Linked DNA regions of Elephas maximus indicus. The protein of the gene in region 1 purifies or fractionates together with the protein of each later gene. This does not show direct contact. Links are inferred from orthologs where the notes say so. Each region holds a gene or a part of one and is shown on either strand. Other genes may lie near its edges.

Evidence for each region. The genes of interacting proteins can lie anywhere in the genome.
Region 2: the proteins of protein argonaute-1 (region 1) and TARBP2 purify together in Homo sapiens (co-immunoprecipitation; 4 studies listed by BioGRID and IntAct, with this or other methods). This does not show direct contact. The link is inferred for Elephas maximus indicus from reciprocal best matches to the Homo sapiens genes AGO1 and TARBP2.

What each region holds. Positions count from the first base shown.
Region 1 is NC_064821.1:77,239,233-77,248,891, reverse strand, and holds the start of protein argonaute-1, read right to left. Parts: upstream 4,718-9,659; 5' UTR 4,499-4,717; coding exon 4,474-4,498; intron 1-4,473.
Region 2 is NC_064822.1:108,992,495-109,002,811, forward strand, and holds the start of TARBP2 (RISC-loading complex subunit TARBP2), read left to right. Parts: upstream 1-5,829; 5' UTR 5,830-6,056; coding exon 6,057-6,109; intron 6,110-6,131; exon of another isoform or gene 6,132-6,356; intron 6,357-6,654; coding exon 6,655-6,824; intron 6,825-7,292; coding exon 7,293-7,395; intron 7,396-7,961; coding exon 7,962-8,057; intron 8,058-8,644; coding exon 8,645-8,717; intron 8,718-9,071; coding exon 9,072-9,189; intron 9,190-9,505; coding exon 9,506-9,633; intron 9,634-10,023; coding exon 10,024-10,225; intron 10,226-10,317. UniProt on the Homo sapiens protein: Required for formation of the RNA induced silencing complex (RISC). Component of the RISC loading complex (RLC), also known as the micro-RNA (miRNA) loading complex (miRLC), which is composed of DICER1, AGO2 and TARBP2.

The sequences.
Region 1 (9,659 bases):
CCAGGTTAAGGTAGGGGTGGTATTTGAGACAGGGTTAAGGCAACTAAGAGGCTAGGGTTAGAGAAACAGAAAAGGAAAAAAGGCTAAAAGGATAGTTTGGAGGTTAAGGAAAAGAGAAAGGCTGAAGTAGGGGGCTAGAAAAAAGGCCGGAACTGGGGGTCACAACAACAACAACAAAAAAGCTTGAAATGGGAGCCCGGGGAAGGAGAGAAGGCTGGAATTAGGGGCTGAGGCAAGATAGGTTAGAGTTGGGAACTGGGGCAGGAAGCAAGGCTGCAATGGAAGAAACTAATGAAGAAAATCCTCAAACGAAGTAAGAGCTGGGGAACAAATATAGGAGACTGAGGCAAGAGGAGGCAAGAATTAGGGGCCTTGGGAAGGAGAGGAAGCAATTACGATGCTGGAAAAGGGGAAGACGTTGGCTCTGGGAAGGAGAATACAAAATTTTTGCAGTCCCTTCAGTTTATATTCAGCTGACCCCTTCACGTCCCACAGTTCCTTCTACACAGAGGGCCCAGACAGTAGCAGAAGGGATCAATTTCAAGACAGAGGGGGCCCTTGGGAGGGGGCTAGGGCGGAGCCAGCTCCCGCTCCTTTCTCCTCTCTTGTCACCAGTCTGGTTGCTACCTCCAGTCTTATTTTTCCAGCTTGAGGGGAAAGGGAGAAAGAAGGAACACGGTCTGAGAGGAGCCTTTGTCCTCAGCTTAATTGTCCCGCACAGTAGAGGACCAGCCCAGGTGGGAGGGAAAGGAATAAACCAGCCCAGAGCCTCCCATCATCAGAGCTCTGCTTTCACAGCCAGGCTGGGGGGGATGGGGCATATCCTCAGCTGGAGGGTCAGGAAGAGGTCAGATCCATTCAGGGGAGGGGTACACTTCCCAGAGCTGAGCTGCTCAAGTCTCCTTTACCTGTCAAGCCCAGCCCCACTGGGCAGACAGGGAAATGGAGGCCCAGCCAGGGCGGACAAGGCCCTCAGAACTCAGCTACATGGGGAAGTGAAAGCCTAACTACTAGTATCTGGCCACCTAACCCCAAAAGAGCTGGACAGAAACTGAACACAAGCCCACAGTCAGACAGACACACATAGACACGCTTCTATCACATACATCCAAACACATACACACAGACCTAGGCAGCTTACCTTTATACATATGCCCCTCACTGCCTTAGACTGCACTTTCTTCAAAGGCAGGGACTGGGGACTGTACCTGCCTTGGTCCCTGTTGACTCCCCAGTGCCTGGCACACAGCTGTTCAATATACTGACATTAAATGAATGAACATATCCATAGACACACCACAACCACACATAGCACACAAAACACTTGAACACCTGCAACTGACCAGAAACAATTACAAATCCTGCACAGGACAAACATATATCACCCTTGTGCATGTGGCCAGTAAGAGAGACCCTCCTCTGAATTCTTAGATTCCATTTACCTCCTTCAGCGTCCCAAACTGGATAAATGTTTGGGGCCTTGGGAGAAATACATCTCCTAGAGCTGGGGGCTGGGTGGAAATGATGGGGGATGGGACAGATACTCTAGCCTCAAAGCCTTCCCTTCCCCCAAAATTGAACTAGTACACGCCAGACTTAGTCTTGGAGCACACTCTACTCCAAGAATGCTTTGGGAAAACAGGAGAGCCCCCATCCTCCTTCATCCTGGAACTTGGGAAGGCAGGAAGAGGTGGTAATCTCTCTCATCCCATCCCCCTACACGCCTCCCAGCTGTACAAAGCCCCCCATCCCACCCCACCCCCAGCTTTAAGTCTGAGAAAGGGAGACACTTCCCTTCAGACCCAGACAGGGACAGACGGCCACTTTGTGATGCAGATGAGGGCCCCAGCAGAAGGACAAAGCTTGGGCCTTGGGGGAAAGGGGCGGGCCCTTCCCTGCAGACAGAAGGAAGGAAGGAGGGGCCCTGAAAAGGACACTCCCCCTCCCCCATCCCCAACTGGCCTAGAGAGGGAAAAGTAACAGAGCTGAAAGCCCTGGCCCAGGGATTCCTTCCCAGCAGTTCAGAGGCCTACATATCTCTCAGGGAGCCAGACTATCTATTTAAAAAACACAAATCCAAGGCTGGGTTAGCTGGTAGATAAGCAAAGGCTAACAGGCCAACCTCTCCAAAAAGAATCTGTCCGCACATGAGTATACACTGGTTATCAAATATTCAATTATGCGCTTGACCATATATATATTCACACTTGAACATGATTCAGTTCAAGTGTGAATATACTCTGTGTCATGGCCTATGCTAGGCAGTTGCTGGTTCCACAGATAAATCAGACACTGCCTCTGCACCTGACCAGAGTTGGCATACTTGGGCATAAGCCCAGTGAGGCCTGCAACAATGCCTCAGTTTGTGTGTGTCCTCGGGCTATCTCAAGCCATCACCCTAACTCCTAATAGTCTGAGCCTGGGAAGGAGGCAGTTATGGGGTTCCTCCACCTGAAGTTTCCAGAACTAATTTCAATTACACCCTTTAATGAAGCGAAGCCTGTCCCACTAGGCTCTTCCTAAGGCTACCGCAGACACCAGGCTTTGTCCCTTCCCTAGAACCTTATTTTTTGTAACAAACAAAAAGGTCAACTTTTTCCATCACTCCAGAGCCCATTATAAATTCATCAGGATAAAATCATCAGCAGTCTGGTGTTGGTATTGGTGCAAGCCCTCAGAAATTCATCTGGATCTCTGTGACCCACCGCACTTCTCTAGTCCACAGGCTGTTGCAAACAGGCTCCAGCCTAGAAAACCAAGAGAGCTCCTGAGATGATGACAGGCACCTAAGGGAGGGAGAAAGTAGTGACCACTGAAGTCAGTTGCTTCCTGAACTCTATTCCCATACCTTAGGGCCCACAGAGTCTCTGTAAGGTTGTTTCTCTTTTCGGGAGAAGAGTAGTCACTAAATATTTATAGATCACTGAATGGATAATTTGAGTGAGTTCGTAGGAGGTATTTCCTTGAAGGTAGAAGGTTTGATCTAAAAGACAAAGATCTTTCCACCAGAGAAGTAAATCCTATTTCCATTCCTAGACCAAATGGAAGGAGGTGATAAGAGGTCACCTAAAGAATTCCAGGATCCAGAATGTTCTTTCTCCCATCACAGGGTAAGAAAGAGACCTAGGACACAAGACATCCCAATACCCCACAGATCATCCTGCGGGCCCTAGTCTTCTTGGGGAGGCCTGCCTCCATTTCTCCTCTGTTCTTAGTTCCTTTTCTCCTGCTTGCATGTAAAAAAGGAGAAGTTAAGGCTATCAGCGGGAACTCAGTACACCAAGGTGCAAGCTAAAATCTCCCACCCTAGTCCCTCCCGACCTAGCTGAGCAACCTAGAGTCTAATGACATGGCTCTGACAGTTTCTGGGGGGTTGAGAGAGGGAAAAGGAAAGAAAGACTACAGATAACCAGTGAAGTATAGGAACCGTGAAAATATTGAGGTATAGGAAAAGATCAGGCTGTCACCTTAATACACATTTCAATAGAAAGGTCCTCATCCTTGGATTAAAAGCTTCAATCTCTATTCAGTATTGGCCCAGAAACTTGCAAAGAAGGCAGAAAATCCCTTCCAGGTAGACTTGGTCCTGGCCTTGGTCCCTCAGTAACGAACACCTTTTCTAAGGCCTATCTTCAGGGAGGACCCACCTTCACCCCCCAAAACACTGCTTTAGTCTCAGTCTTTCCTTACTCTACTGGCAAAGAGGAGCACTTTGGCAGTTTCTCTTAACCTTAATTGGGAAACTGTGACTGAGGGGCTTCAGGGCCAAGTGTAAGAGACCCCAAGATGGGGGAAGGGACCATTTCCACTTGGCCCTCCCAGCATAACGTTAGAGAATCCACCCCATCAGCTCGCTCCTTCTTCCAGGCCAAACCGGGACTAAGGGGTGGGGGAACGATCTCAGGCAGCCACGCCCCCACCACACTGGGCAGCCCCTTCCAGCTGCCACCTCCGCGCATGCTCCGGCGCCTCTGCTCCGGCTCCCCAGACTCACTGGGGGGAATCCCGCGGCTGGGATTCCAGCCCAGCTCTGGCGCCTTCTCCCCGAGACACTAACCCAGCCCAGCCAGGCTGAGCCCCCGCCCCCGGCATGCGGCTGCTCCGGGCCCATCTGTGTCGCCCCCTCCTCTCCGGGACACCTGGAGCCCGCCCCCTGCCACCTGCCGGGCCTCTCCCTAGGCCTCCTCGGATATACGCGAGTCTTTGCGTGCTACCAGGGCCTTCTCCAAGATTACTTCCCACCCCCAGGACTGCATACAGCCTCCTTCTACAAATGGCCCCCATCTCAGGGCTCCCTTCACAAGGTCTTCTCTCCCGGAACTGCACACAGCCCCCTTCAAACTGGGCCCCCATCCCAAGAGAGCCCCTCTCCTCACTCAGGAGCCCTTCCCTCACTCGGAAATCCCGCTCCTCACGCGGGAGCTCTCTGGTCCTTGGAGCACGCACAGCACCCCCCTTCCCCGGGGCCCTTACCTGCTCCCGAGGGTCCCGCTTCCATCCCATATACCCGTGCGGAGGTCAGGCGGCCTGGAGACTTTGGAGTCCAGCGTGAGGGGCCTAGGTACCCCGCACTTTAGCTGCTTGGGCTCCCGGGCCGGGCTCGGCTCCCCCCCCGAAGCCCGGCCGCTCGCACCGCCGCCCCCGCAGCCTCCGTTGCCGCCGCGGCCGCGGAGCCTGCAGCAGCTCCCCCTTCGAGCGCCCGGCCAGTTGCTAGTGCGCAGGCGCGGCCGCCAGGCCCAGGGGGCGGACGGGAACGAGTCAAGCGGGGCGCTCCGACGGCAACAAAGGCCAATGGAGAGGGGCGGGGGCACCGGGGACCGGAGGCAGCGGCCCCTGGTGGTCACCCGTCGCCATGCAGCCCAGCGGGAGGGCTCCCGTAGAGGCGCCGCGAAACCGCGCAGCGGCGTTAGTGAGGCTGGGAGGCCCACCCCCGCAACAGCCTCCGGCCCTGTATCTTTTTCCAAAATAATCCCCTCCAAACTTACACACAGACCCTCCTTCACACAGGACCACGCGCATATTACAGGGACCCCACCTCATACCCAGACCCCCCCCTACACACTCGAGCGCCCCATCACCCAGGAGCCCTGCCTCCCACCTCTCCTCCCAATCACCCTCATCCTTCAAGCCTCGGCTGCAAAGCGACTGCCTCCGCAAAGTCTTTCTCCGTCCCCAGTCGATGAACTCACTGACGCCACCCTGTCTTCCAGGACGTGTACTGGGCGCTGAGACCAGAGATACGAAACAGAGCCTGCCTACCCTGAAAGATGTACAGTCTCAACTCAAGTGCAGCGACAGAGCTCTATCTGCGGTACTCGGGAAGGACCTGCCTCCACTTTCTCATTTACAGCTCACGCCGTAACTCCGCCAATCTGCTTTCACCCTCATCACCTCACTTAAATGACTTTTTGTGCCGAAATCCAGTTGATAATTTTCAGTTCTTATTTATCTGACATCATCCGTGCCTCTCCTTTTTTGAATCTTCTACTTGGCTTCTGTATTTTCTGAGGTCTCCATTTTGTCCAATTCCTTTTCAGTCTCCTTTGAGGGCCCTCTCTTGCTTTTGCTCTATTAAATAATAGTGTACACCTGGTTCCCAACCCCGTTCTCTTCTCATTCCACTCTCCACTTTCCCCTTGAAGGTCTCATCCACTATCCTTTCAAATCTCTATCTCCAGCCAAGTCTCATATTCCCAAGCGTTTGCTGGACAGCTCCACCTGGATAGCCTATCAGCACTTCGTATTTAAGGAGTCCAAAACTGAACAAAAAAAAATTTTTTTTTTTGCTTTATTGTAGTAAATATATATACATAAACATTTGCCAAAACAAACTCTTTCCCCCACAAACGTGCTTGTCCTGTTTCCTGTCTCAGTGAATGACACCTTCATAGAAATGGCAATTCCTCTCTTTCCCTTGCTTCTTGTACCCGTTCAGCTGTTCACCAATTCCTGATATGTTTACCTCCTGAATTGCTCTTTCATGATTCCCTTGCCATTCTAATGGTCCCTGTGCTGGTGCAGACCCTTATCCTATTTTGCCAGAACGACTACATCCTTGCTAGTCAGTTTCTTGACACAGGCCTTCCTTCCATCAGTGATAAATGATGAAAGACCCAGCTCAAACATCACTTTTGCATATATTCATCCATATATGTAATTTTTGATGCCTATTGATGCTGAGCAAAGGGCAAGGAACTTGAGATGGACTATATGCAGTTCCTACTCATGCGGAGCTTAATTTCTGACACCATAGCATGTCTTCCTTCTCTCCAGCGTTGTTGTTGTTAGGTGCCATCAAGTTGGTTCCGACTCATAGTGGCCCTATGTACCACAGAATGAAACACTGCCCAGTCCTGTGCCATGCTCACAATCGTTATGCTCAAGCCCATTGTTGTAGCTTGTGTCAATCCATCTTGTTGAGGGTCTTCCTCTTTTCCGCTGATCCTGTACTCTACCAAGCATGATGTCCTTCTCCAGGGACTCATCCCTCCTGACAACATGTCCGAAGTATGTAAGATGCAGTCTTGCCATCCTTGCTTCTAAGGAGCATTCTGGTTGTACTTCTTTCAAGACAGATCTGTTCATTGTTTTGGCAGTCCACGGTATACCCAATATTCTTCACCAACACCACAATTCAGATGTGTTAATTCTTCTTCAAGTCTTCTCAAACAGCTGGTATCAGAATCACCTGGAGGACTTGTTAAAGCACTGATTGCTGAGCCCTGCCTCCAGAGTTTCCGATTCAGCAGGTCTGGGGTAAAGAGTTTCCGATTCAGCAGGTCTGGGGTAGGGCCCAAAAATGTGCGTTTCTGGCAAGTTTCCAGATAAGGCTTATGCTGATGGCCTGGGAACCACACTTTGAGAAACCACTGCTCAACAGCATAAAGTAGTAGTTAAGAACAAAGATTCTAGAGTCATACTTTCTTGGTGTCAATCCTGGTACTACCATTTACCTGCTGTGTAACAGTGAGCAAATTACTTTTCTGTGTCTCAATTTCTACCTTTGTAAATTAGAAGTAAGCACAATACCTACCTCACTAGGCTGTTGTGAAAATTAAATTAGCCGGTAAAGACCTGAGAACAATGCCTAGAAGAATGCAAGAAAAGTGTTAGCTGCTATCATAATCGCTGTCTGCTTTTCACACTATATTCTAAGCTCCTTAAGGACAGAGACCATATCAAATGCATCTCTGTCCCCCTTTGGTGCCTGGGAAAAGCTGTGTCTAGAGTGAGAAGTAAATTTGGCTTGACCTGAATCAAACAGATGGCATAAAAAAAACCCTCAGAAATAGCAGGGTCCTTGCCTTGGTGTAACTGAGCTGGGAGCTCAGCTTTTCCATAAGAGTTTGAATCCCCTGTTCTGAATGCCCAGGCTCACACTTAACTTTGTGGAAAGGCACTGGCCACTATTCTGATTCATTTTCAAAGTGGCTAGTGGAGTCAATCCTGACTCTGGACTCTCAGGGTCCTTCTGCAGGGTGTCTCCATCATCAAGGATTTCACTCTTGGCTTGACAAAGCAGTAGAGTATAAGGGAAATCCAGATAGCATTTTGCTTTTTATGCTGACAACTTTCTTCTAGCACTGTGGCAGCATGCTTGTCTGTTTTCCCACTCTTGTCCATTCTGTCATATTCCTTGGACTCAGGCAGACATGGCTCTAGCAACATGCTTGTCCGTTTTTCCACTTTTGTCTGTTCTGTAGTATTTCCTTGGACTCAGGCAGACATGGCTCTAGCAGCATTCTTGTCTACTTCCTACTTTTGCCTCTTTGAATATATGCCAAATAAAACCTTTTTCTTTAAAAAGAAGAAAAAAAAAACTTCTTTCAGTAATTCTTGATGTACCTTCCCAGAAATCTAACAGCTTCTCTCTGTTTCTAGTTCAATCCTTGCATCTTAGTCCTTAGCTAACTCACACTGAAGGTCCTCTGTTCTGTGGGCCAGTACCCAGGTTTTTCCACCTATACATATTCTTCACACCCAAAGTTTCCTGGTCCCAAAACTACAAGAACACCTTGAAAAAAATTTGCATCTCCATCTATATTTTCATTTTAATATTTAAAAAATCAATCTAAGTCACTAATTAGAATGTAGATAAGAACTACTTCAGGTGAAGGGAAAGACAACACACAATACAGGTGAGGTCAGTACAACGGGACTAAACCAAAAGCAAAGAAGTTTCCTGAATAAACTGAGTGCTTCAAAGGCCAGCGTAGCAGGGGCAGGGGTTTGGGGACCATGGTTTCAGGGGTCATCTAAGTCAATTGGCACAATATAATCTATTAAGAAAGCATTCTGCATCCCACTTTGAAGAGTGGTGTCTGGGGTCTTAAACTCTAACAAGCGGCCATCTAAGATGCATCGATGAGTCTCAACCCACCTGGATCAAAGGAGAATGAAGAACACCAAGCTCACAAGGTAATTACAAGCCCAAGAGACAAAAAGGGCCACATGAACCAGAGACTACATCATCCTGAGACCAGAAGAACTAGATGGTGCCCGGGTACAACCAACGACTGCCCTGACAGGGAACACAACAGACAACCCCTGAGAGAGCAGGGGAGCAGTGGGATGCCGACCCCAAATTCTCATAAAAAGACCAGACTTAACGGCCTGACTGAGACTAGAAGGACCCCGGTGGTCATGGCCCCCAGACCTTCTGTTGGCCCAGGACAGGAACCATTCCTGAAGCCAACTCTTCAGACATGGATTGGACTGGACAATGTGTTGGAGAGGGATGCTGGTGAGGAGTGAGCTTCTTGGATCAGATGGACACTTGAGACAATGTTGGTATTTCCTGCCTGGAGGGGAGATGAGAGGTGGAGGGGGTTAGAAGCTGGCAAAATGGACACAAAAAGAGAGAGTGGAGGGAGGGAGCGGACTGTATCATTAGGGGGAGAGTAATTGGGAGTGTGTAGCAAGGTGTATATAAGTTTTTGTGTGAGAGACTGACTTGATTTGTAAACTTTCACTTAAAGCATAATAAAAATTATTTTAAAAAATCAATCTAGGAACAATGAAAGCAATGTAGTATAATTAATAGATTTAAGACAAATTGTATACCCTACTATCAGGAAATGAATCAACAGCTCTTGCATGCAGCATGCCTTTATCTACAATAAACATGTATTTCTTAAATATTTCAGGAAATAGTTTTAAAAATCAGAAATCATCAAAAATGGAGTTAATAAGTATTAACTGTTACTTTGAAAAGATTTATAAAATTGGTAAGCTTTTTATAAATTGAGGTATAATTGACATATAATAAAATATACATATATAAAATGTATAACTTGTTAAGTTCTGATGTGTATATAAATCTGTGAAATCATCACAACCAAAATAGTGAACATATCCATTAGTCCCAAATTTTAAAACTCACCACAGAGATTTTAACAAATATAAGGAAATTGTTTATATACCCATAGGCTAATGAATCTGAAACTTTGAGTAAAAAAAAAATTTAATTACGTGTGTATGTGTGTTTTCATCAAAAATGCAAAACAAGGACTTAAAAGCAAGATCTGAGCAATAACTAAGAAGGACACTGAGAACGTGATCAAGGGTGACCAAAGAACATCTAGCCCAGAAGGTTCAGTTTAATGCTTCCAATCTTTCCCAAAAGAGATAATTCTGTTTCATGTTATATGAACTGTTCT
Region 2 (10,317 bases), on another chromosome or scaffold:
TCTTCGGGCACCCTGGGAGGCCTACTTCATTTTCCCCATGATCTAAATCAGCAGAGGGCATGAGATGGCCCAGGCCCATAAGCCCAATCTTTGATGCCGAACTCCTTTGACTCCAAATTTCAGCTACAACAAGATTGTTTTGCTGGTGGTTTCCAAAGTGCCCCATCAGAAGGCTGTAGGGGTGGAGTGGGGACAGGGAATCACCATTTATTCTTCCACCTAGGTTCTCCTGCCTGAGATGTTGGAAGCCTGAGGCAAGGGAACCCTCTGAATTCTCTATGGCTCCCTCCTACACTAAGAGCTGAATCTCAATGCCCAGTTGCTTGTCTGGCTGTCTTGGGGGCTCAGTTCAGAGGCCAGGCCATCTGTCTAAATCTTGGGCTCTTAGGGCTAAGCATTCTCTGCAGTCCTAGACCTCATTTTCCATTCAGGAAAAGTTTCCACTTCTCTCCTGAGTGGGTCAGGGAGGGGGGACTTCAAAGAAAAAGAGACTCAAACCTTTGGAATCCTAGTCCCCACCTCTGCAGGCTTTGAGACCCTGTGGAGGGTACAGGACTCTGACCCTTGATGGCCTGCCTCCTGTCCACTTGGCTTCAGCTTGGTTTTCGTTTTGCTTTTTTAAAGAGTCCATGGTGCTGGCCCCAGAGCTCTTCTCACATGGAACTACAGCTTCTCTCAGTGCCCTCACGAGGGGGAAATACCTTCCCCTGAGAGCCTGGGGAAACCTGGAGGTCACCCCCTAAATCCAGGTCTCCAGCCTCCTCCAGGCCAAGCCCTGAGACCCCTAGCAGCCACAACCTCTTCTTCCAGGAACACAGGCAGTGGAAGGACTTGAGGCAGGCAGGAGGGTAGTAGTATTTAGGAAACAGGAGCCAGCTTTGGAGTTGGAGATCAGGTCCTTTAGAACCCCAGCTTTGCTGCTGATTAGTTTAAGTACAATCACCTCTCTGAAACACCCAGCCCTACCTTATCAGGTGGTGCGAGTGAAGTAGGATGATGTAGGGAGTGCAGTGAGCATGCTGCCTGGCTCCTTGCTTTGTCTTCCTGGTTGGCTGGACACCAGGTCTTTCTTTGTGGATCCTGAAGAGTCCATCTCTTCTGCCTGACCAGATAAAGGGAGACTTGGTCTCCGACCTTCTAGTACCCCAGGACAAATCTCGACTCCAGGTTCCAGTGCAACCAGGTTACAATGGCAGTGGTGTACTAGAGCCCCCAGCAATAATTCCTTTCCCAGATCTTCAGTTCTTCCTCTGCAAATCCTGCCATTCCACTTGCTCTGCACAGAGGGGAAGGCCTGATCCTCTACGCTTCATCCTTGCCCCCTGGCCAATTCTCTTTGGAATCTGCTCTCTCTAGCAGCTACACCACTAAAACCCTCACCTTGATCATGTGGCACAAGATCACCCTCAGTCCCACCTACTAAGGTCTGAGAGGAAGAAGAAGACAAGAGCAAGGTATGATGGTCCAGGCCTTTCCTTCCTACTCAGGACGTCAGGTGGACTGGGACGAAGTTCAGCATATTTTAACAAGTGGTTCCTGAGCTGAACGTGCACATAAAAAGATCTGGATGGACAGCTACCAAAGTGTCACAGCTCTTAGGCAGGTGGCATTATGGGTGTTTTTATTTTCCTCTTTGGGCTTATTATATTTTTTAATATTTCAGTAATTTGTTTTAATTACTTTTAAAATAAATGTATCTTAAATTGAAAAAGAGACAATAAAAATTACAGAGTATTCATCCATTCCTGGCACTTAGCTGAGGACAACTGTGCTTTAGGGGGAGGGTGGCTGGCTGGTGTGGTGGAGAGAGACCAGGATTAGAATCAGAGAGGCTTAGGTTGAGGTCTTGTCCCTATTCCTTACCAGCAGGGTGACCTCAAGTACAAGTCATCTTAACTTCAGTTTCTTCATCTTTAAATGGGGACAATGGTATTTCTCTCACATAGTGGTAATGCAGGATGAGATGTGGTGGGCAAAAACACAGGCTCGGGGTCAGACAGACCTGAGTTTGAATCCTAGCTCTGGCCACATACTAACTTTTTGACCCTGAACAAATTAGTTTTTTGATGATAACACTACCTAACTCTTAGGCTTGTTATAAGCATTACTGAGATAATCCAAATAAAGTTCTTGGCCCAGTACCTGGCATGTAGGAAGCTCCCCATAAACATTAGCTGTGTGGAAAGTGTCTAACACATAGTATTAGATTCTTTAAAAATATGAGTTCTCTTACTTTCTTAAAGCAAGAGGCAGTAGGTAGGGTACAGTTGAAAAGGGAGGCAGAGAAGCAAGGTGAAAAAAGGAGAGCAAAAAGAAGAAACCAAAAGGCAAGGGCTATTTATCCTGCATTATCCTTATCCTTCTCTGGAATAGTGTTGTTGCTGTCTCCTTCCCCCTGTCCCCAGTACACACATGACCCTAAGTTCTCCTGGGAGCAAATGAACTAGACCAGTCTCTGGAGTCAACCAACCCCTCATGAAGCCCTTATGTCCCCTGCTGGTATCATCTTAACACTGTCCTCTTTTTTCCTCAGCAGGGACTCCTGAAGGGGTTGATTCCCTGATCCTTTCTTTCCCCCCAGGTCCTGGCAGCAGAGAGACGTAGGACTGCCCAGGATGAGCCACTAGGAGAGTCCAGGGCTGTGGGTACTAGAGCTTAGGGTCTTCTTGGCAAAGGCAGGTTTTACCAAAGTATCACCATGGAGGGAAAGACAAGGAATAGCAATTGTTTTTTAGAGGGGTTCTGCCATTCTTAGCCATAAGGAGGCCTAGGAAATCCTGAGCCACTTCCTTAACTTGAACTCCCTGCCTCCTCTGCCCATAACTGGGTTTAATTAGGAGATGAGTATTTAGTTGTGTTTTTATGTATGCTGGGAGTTGGGGTATCAAACTGTTGGTCTTCTCTGCATGATCACCTCAGACTCCAATGTGAGTGAGTGGATCAATGCCAGGCTTGAGAGGGCAGATAGTTTTTTTTCACCCTTAAATGTGGGATAGGAGGGAGCAGGGCCCTAAAACCCAGAGAAACTAAAGAAGGCACTTCCTGAATCCCTTCTGCTTGCCCAGCTTGGCATGACTCTCTAGCTGAAAATCATGCCCCCAAAGCATTGGAGTTCATCCTAAGAGGTGGACAGGAAATGCTGTTTAGAGGGAGTTATTGACTGTGGCTGGAGAGGACCATGGCAGGGATGAAGAGACCTCATGTGCACACCCTCCTGGTTGAAGTCCACTCACCTATTCTCTCAAGAGGTAGAAGAGCTAAAAGGTGGGACCTCCCCCCAATTCTAAGGGACACCATTTCCTCCCTCTGTCTATAGAGGCACTGACCCCTTGTTTTCTCTCCCCTCAGCTAAGGCCATGGATATCAGGAGTCTCAACTCTGTGGAAAGATTCTTGCTTATTTTTAAGCCAAGGAGTTTGAGGAGTATGTGGAGGCAAAGAGAAGTGGTTCTTGAAGGGCCTGAGCTGGGGGAATGGGTTAGGGGAGCCAGAGAAGATGGAAGAAGGAGGAGGGAGAGAGCCATATATAGATGGGGGAGGGGAGGATGCAACAGCTGGATGAAGAAGGTGAATGCTACAGCTGGAGGGGATTGGGGGCATCACAGCTGGAAGGGGAGGGAGACCAACGCCTGGGCATCCAGGAACAGGTGCACTCTGACTACAGTCTTAAGGTCTAGCCTGCTCTCTGTGTGTGTGTATGTGTGTGTGTGTGTGTGTGTGTGTGTGGTGGGGGGGGGGTGGGTACAGCAGGCCTTGCCCTTCCTTTCCTTTTCTGGAGGGAGCCAAAACTCTCCCTCCTCTCTCCCCCTTCTTGAAGATGAGTAGGAGGAGAGGAGGATGTTCTCTTGCCCTCTGTCCTTTCTTTAATTCTGCCCCCCAGTCACCCCACCCCCTCCTCCCCCTGCAATACCGTCATTTCCAGCTCGGGAAGCCCTTCGTCTCCAGGCTGGGCCGCGGCGTCCCACCGTTCGTTTCGCCTCCTTCCCATCCCCACAGGCATCGGGTCCAGGTTCCCGGTCCCCCCATCCCCACAGCCTCAGCATCCCCGCGCCACCCCCTCCCCCACGCCACATCTGCATCCCGATCCTCCCTTCGCACCCGGATCCCAGGACCCGGGCCCGTTCCAGCCCTCCACCCCCCGCAACTCGCCCAGGCTCTCACCTCGGGGGCTCGGCGGCCGCAGCACAAAAGGCGGCGCTGCTGCAGCTCCGCTCCGGATGCTGCTCCCGCCTCCTCCTCCTTCTCCTCCTCCTTTCTCCTCCCCCCGCCCCCCCCCCCCGCTGCCCTCGACCGGACCCGGGTCGCTGTCACAGACGAGGCTCGTGCGGTGTCCGGATGCACGGGTATCAGCCCCAGATTTATGCCCCCACCCCCCCGACCCCTAGCCCCGTCCCCTGTCGGCTCGAACTCTCGCTCTTTTCAGGGCCCCCGCCCCTGGCCCCCCGGGACGGACACGCCCTGAGCTGGGGATGCTGCGCTGGAGCCGTCGGCCTCTTAAAGGAGCCCGCTGCTGCCATCCGGCGCTTTCCAGGCTTGTCCCTGGCCCGTCTGCACCCTGCGCCTCCCTGCTGGTGGTATCCTGTAGCCGTCCTACCCTGGGTTTTATGCTGATTCCACAGGAATCCCCATGACCCGTTTTATAAACTCTCTCCTTTACCCTTATGGGACCCCCAGCGCTTTGGCATTGCTCCCCTGTCATACCCATCTTGCCAGCTCTCCTCCCCAGAATTGTCATCACTCTAGTTCCACCAAACGCTGTACGCCTCAGCTCTAGGCTCCCTCCCTCCCTCTCCACGATCATTCCAAGATTGCTCTGAACCTCCAACCTTGCTCAGGCTTCCCTGACACCTTCTTAGGACACTCATTAGAGTCAGACACTTTTCGTGATTTCTGTCTCCAAGGTCACAAGATTTCCCCTATCTCTCTCAGCCAAGTGGTTACAAGACTTTGGAGAGTGACGGATGGAGCTCTGAGACCCCAAAATAGGGGTTCTGTTCTGCACTCAGATTAGTCCGTTAGTTTTAAGAAGTCAGAATCCTCTCTTGATTTGCTTTTACCTGAGAAACCCAAGACCCACGACAGACAGCGGGGCCCAATTGCCTGAGTCCTTCTCATCCTGCCTCATCCGATAGCCTGATTCTCAGGCCCCTGAGGGGATTTCCTGGCCGGTTAAAGAGAGACTAGGGCCGCTCTAAAAAGGCTTTGAAAGGGAGGTGAAGGGTAACCTTTGAGAAAAGAAGGTTCTACGAGACGGAGGCCTGAGAACCAGGGGCTTAGGCCAAGGGGTGAGGGTCAACGCTCAGAGAGGAACTTAGGTATACATTTGTCCCAGCGCCTTGGGGGACAGAGCACAGCCCCCTCCCGCGTCCAGGTTAAGGCCCACCTCCTTCCCAGAAAGCGCTCCTCGACGCCGGGCCAATCACAGTCTTTTCTCAAGGAAAAGGCGGGGCCAAAGGGGGCCGACTCTTCCCTTGTTCCCACCCCTCTAGGCAAAACAACCAATCTCAACTTGTCTAGAGGAGGAAACGCAATCGGGAATAACCAATCACGCCGCGAAGCTTCTCGATCGCATTAGACCCTGCCCCTCCAGCTGCGACAAAAATGGCGCGCAAGCTCCTGGGTTCTGTAGTTCTCTCGGAATTCAAAAAGCCCCATTTTAGAGTTAGCCCTTACCGCCCCGCCCCCAGCGGCTTCCATTCCGCTAGTGCGCATGTCCACAGCTTCACAGTACAGGGAACGGAGGAACGGAAGGAAGGAGGCGGGACGATTAAAAAAAAAAAGCCTAAGCTTGGGAAGCGACAGAGAAGGGGTCTGCTCCTCCCAGAAGGCGGTGCTGCTTGCCAGGGCGAACCACGCGGAGGGTTGTGGGGAGGATAGCTACCCTCCTGATGGAGACACATGAAGTAGGGTGGGCGGGGGACTCCATATCCCAGCATGCCCCGCGCCGGGCCCTACCGGCCGCGACTCCGGGCTTGGCCCCGGCCCTAGCTCGTCGGCGGAGTATTGGGGCGCGTGGAGGCTGTAGTCACGGTGGCGCCCGCGGGGACGGAGGAGGGAATGAGTGAAGAGGAGCAGGGCTCCGGCATTATCACGGGCTGCGTGCTGCCCAGGTGAGCCACCTCGTAAAGAGCCCTGCAGGGCGAAAATCGTGGTGCGGCGCGGAGGCGGTAGCCGCGCGGCCCCAGCATGCACCTGGCCTGAGGGTTGTTCCCGGCAAGCACTGGGGTAGTGGGCAGTGATTCCCAGCATGCACCGAGCAGTGGCCACTGCCTCCAGCCCTAAATAGTTTGGAGTTGTCCCGGTTCCCAGACTGCCCTGGGGCACTGGGGTTTATGCCATCGAATTTTAGTGCATTTGGTGGGTACTGGGTCCCTAGCCTGCACTGTGACAGGGGACATGCACTTCCAACCTACGCTGGGGTACAGGATACCTTCACTGAGATAGGAACTGTGCATTCCTCTCCTGCCCTGGGGCAATGGATCCTGCTTTCCCAGCCTGCACCTCTACTCCACATTGAACCCAGCCAATGGCTGCTGTATTGCCAGGGTCCCCTGGACTCTCTGCGTTCCCATAATGTGCCTGGGTCTGGTATGGCAGTGCTTGGTGAGATGGGTGTAGGGGAGGTGTGATGTCGGTCTGTGCCCCTGCCCCCCAGTATAGAGCAAATGCTGGCCGCCAACCCGGGCAAGACCCCGATCAGCCTTCTGCAGGAGTATGGGACCAGAATAGGGAAGACGCCCGTGTACGACCTCCTCAAAGCCGAGGGCCAAGCCCACCAGCCTAATTTCACCTTCCGGGTCACCGTTGGCAACACCAGCTGCACTGGTGAGGAAGGATTGGGCAGCTTGGCTGGGGTGTGCTAAGCTTGTCACAGGGCGCCATGGCTTTGCTGTTTGAAGTTTATTCACAGTCCTCCACGGCTAGTGAGGGAAGGAGAAATTGCAGGGGAGAAACCACTGACTGGACTGGGAGAGCAGGGTGGTGGGGACGGGGGATAGGACTTGGGAGAGTTAGAGAGCAGGACTGCCACAGCAATCTGGCAGATCCTCGTCATCCCTGAGGAAAAAGTAGGAGGTAAACATAAATCTGAGTAAGGATTTGGAGGGGGGCTGTTAAGAGTCCTTCCTTCCAGCAGTTAGTGTAACACTTCCAGTCTTGGGCAGGGGGAGGTTAGTCAGAGGGGGCTAGCTGACTCCCTGTGGCTGTATGAAGAGAGGCTATGGGGTGCTGTCCTTCCAGTGACCTCTTCTGCCCTTCCAGTGACCTCTAGTATTGTCCGATCCCCTCTCTCAGGTCAGGGCCCCAGCAAGAAGGCAGCCAAGCACAAAGCAGCCGAGGTGGCCCTCAAGCACCTCAAAGGGGGGAGCATGCTGGAGCCGGCCCTGGAGGACAGCAGGTGAGGGAGAAACAGCCAAGGCATCCTAGAGGCTCTGCCAGCAACCAGGGCAGGCCCCTGGCCCACTCCCTCTGCCCAGTAGACCACCCTGCCCTGGCCTCTTCCTGAGTTTCCTCTGGACCTGAGCATGGTGCTTCCAGAGTTTCTGCTGCAGCGAAGGATTCTGGGGGGAGTAGCCAGCCCCATCCAGAGGTTGTGGCTATGGTTTGGGACCTGGATTAGGGAGGGAGAGGGGTGGAGCCTAAGCCTGAAGGGAGTTGCTCCCAACATGCTTTCTCTTTCTAGCAAGATGTCTTTCCATCTTCCACATTTAGGCTGGAGTTTGTTGCTTCCAGCATCCTTGAGTAGGAAGAGACCCTTCTCCCCCTTTTCGCAGTCTTTTTGATTTAGTCTTTGACAGCAGACGATCTCAGAAGGAAGAGTTGTTGGTTGAGCTTCCCTGAGTCTTTGGCTCAAGTGGGAAAGGGTTCTCTTAGGGGATGGGCATGTCAGGAAGACCTGGATCCCCCACTCTCCGTTCCCTTTACACATGTGTGTGAATCAAATGCTCCCTTCCCCTCGGGAAGTCCTTTCTCTCCCCTAGACTCTTCACTGCCTGAGGACGTCCCGGTTTTTACTGCTGCAGCGGCTGCTACTCCTGTTCTTTCTGCTGTCCCAACCAGGTATCTTTTGTCCCCTGACTGCTTGAGGTGGGAGAGGAGGGGGTCCTGGTTCCTGACCCCCAGCCCTTGGACCTAGGCTGGTCAGGGCATGAGGAAATCTAAGAGTAAACAGAGGGTGGACTAATTGGGGACCAGAGCTTGAAGAATTTGCACCAGCTGGTAAGCTGTTGGGGCAGGAAGTAATTTATGATTTTTAAATAGTCATAAGGGTGATGTTGGACCATGTTTTAAGGGTCTTGCAAGACCCATTTTCTTCTGGGTTGGCCACGTGATAGTTCTATGTCTGAGTCTCATTAGGTTCTTCCTGGGACTGGGTATACACAGTCCTTCTACTATCTTGGTGAGATGATGCCTAAACGTACAGAATGGAAATGGGGTTAGGACACATAGGAGGCCTCACATGGGTGGGAGGGGGAAGTGGACCAGAGCAGGAGGGAGGAATGCTAGACATTTGGCGAGACAGTTGCCTGCCTAGTGGGAAATAGGGAGATGTAGTAAAGCCAAGGCAATAGTTAGGACTTGGGCTTATGGGTAGCCAAGAAGGAGCCATCTCCCTCAGCTTTGGCCCTGGGCCCTTTTTCCTTCAGGAGCCCCTCCATGGAGGTACAGCCCCCTGTCTCCCCTCAGCAGTCTGAGTGCAACCCCGTTGGTGCTCTGCAGGTGTGCCCCATCCTCATTTCCTGTGCATGCTTGTCTTCCCTTGAACCAGGGCTGTGAGGGAAGCTTATGTAATTGTGCGGGGACAGGGGGGTTGCCCTGTACTGGAGGCTTTTTCCACCCCCCTTATCCCTCCTCCCTGGTGGCGTAGTGGTTAAGTGCTACGGTTGCTAACCAAAGGGTTGGCAGTTCGAATCCGCCAGGTGCTCCTTGGAAACTCTATGGGGCAGTTCTGCTCTGTCCTATAGGGTCGCTATGAGTTGGAATCGACTGGACGGCACTGGGTTGGGTTTGGTTTGGTTTATCCCTCCTCTCTTACTCAGCCTTGTGCATCGCTGGTTTTCCACCCTTTCCAAGGAGCTGGTGGTGCAGAAAGGCTGGCGGTTGCCTGAGTACACAGTGACCCAGGAGTCCGGGCCAGCCCACCGCAAAGAGTTTACCATGACCTGCCGAGTGGAACGTTTCATTGAGATTGGTAACTGGGCGGAAGGGGGTTCTTGAGCTACTGTCCCCACCACTCCATCCCCGGCCACAGGGCAGCTCCTGGCCTCACTGCAGAGCCCCAGCTCACCTTGCTTCTCAGTCCTAGGCTCAGCTCCTTCCTCCTAGTTTCTTCTTGCAGCCTATCCTTCCCCTTCGTTTCTAGTTGACCAGATTGTCAGGTGCATGAGCAGGTCCTCAGTGCCCCTTTCCAATTGACATCCTTGTGAGGGGACCCTCCAAGTGTGTCCCGGGTGGAAAGTACTGGACCTACTGGGAATAATAATCCGGCACCCTCTTCCCACATACAGGCAGTGGCACTTCCAAAAAGCTGGCAAAGCGTAACGCAGCGGCCAAAATGCTGCTCCGAGTGCATACAGTGCCCCTGGATGCCCGGGATGGGAATGAAGCAGAGCCTGATGATGATCACTTCTCCATTGTGAGTGGCTTGTGTGGGCCAGGTGCCGTGGGCCTTCGTTCATGCCAGGGCCGGGTACCGGAGACTTGGGTCTGTAACTCAGGAGTGAGCCTCTCCAGCCCAAGGCCTGCTCCTGCCTCATTTCCTACCAGATCCAGAGTTTGAGGAGCTCTTAGTCTCCACTTGTCAGCCCCTCTGAGTGGTGTGGGGGAGCTAACCCAGGGATCTGTGAGCTTCTGCTGCTGGGATGAGGAAGGCTGCCTGGCCGTCTGGGCTAGTAGTTAGCAGGGGTCTTATGGGGACTGACTGGGGGAGGCAAGCCGGAACAGGCACTCTGGGCTTTCCTCTCCTTGGATTTTGAGTGTCCCACAGTCCCTGGCTACATTGCTGTCATTGTCCCCATCTCATCAGGGCGTGGGCTCCCGCTTGGATGGACTTCGGAACCGGGGCCCAGGCTGCACCTGGGATTCTCTAAGAAATTCTGTGGGAGAGAAGATCCTGTCCCTTCGCAGCTGCTCCCTGGGCTCCCTTGGTGCCCTGGGCCCTGCTTGCTGCAGTGTCCTCAGTGAGCTTTCCGAGGAGCAGGCCTTCCATGTCAGCTACCTGGATATTGGTATGGCTGGTTTGGGGTCAGGGGTGGGGACCGGACCAGAGCAAGCATGAGTGGGTGTAAGGGGGTTGGGAGAAGAGGAAGAGGATGTAAAT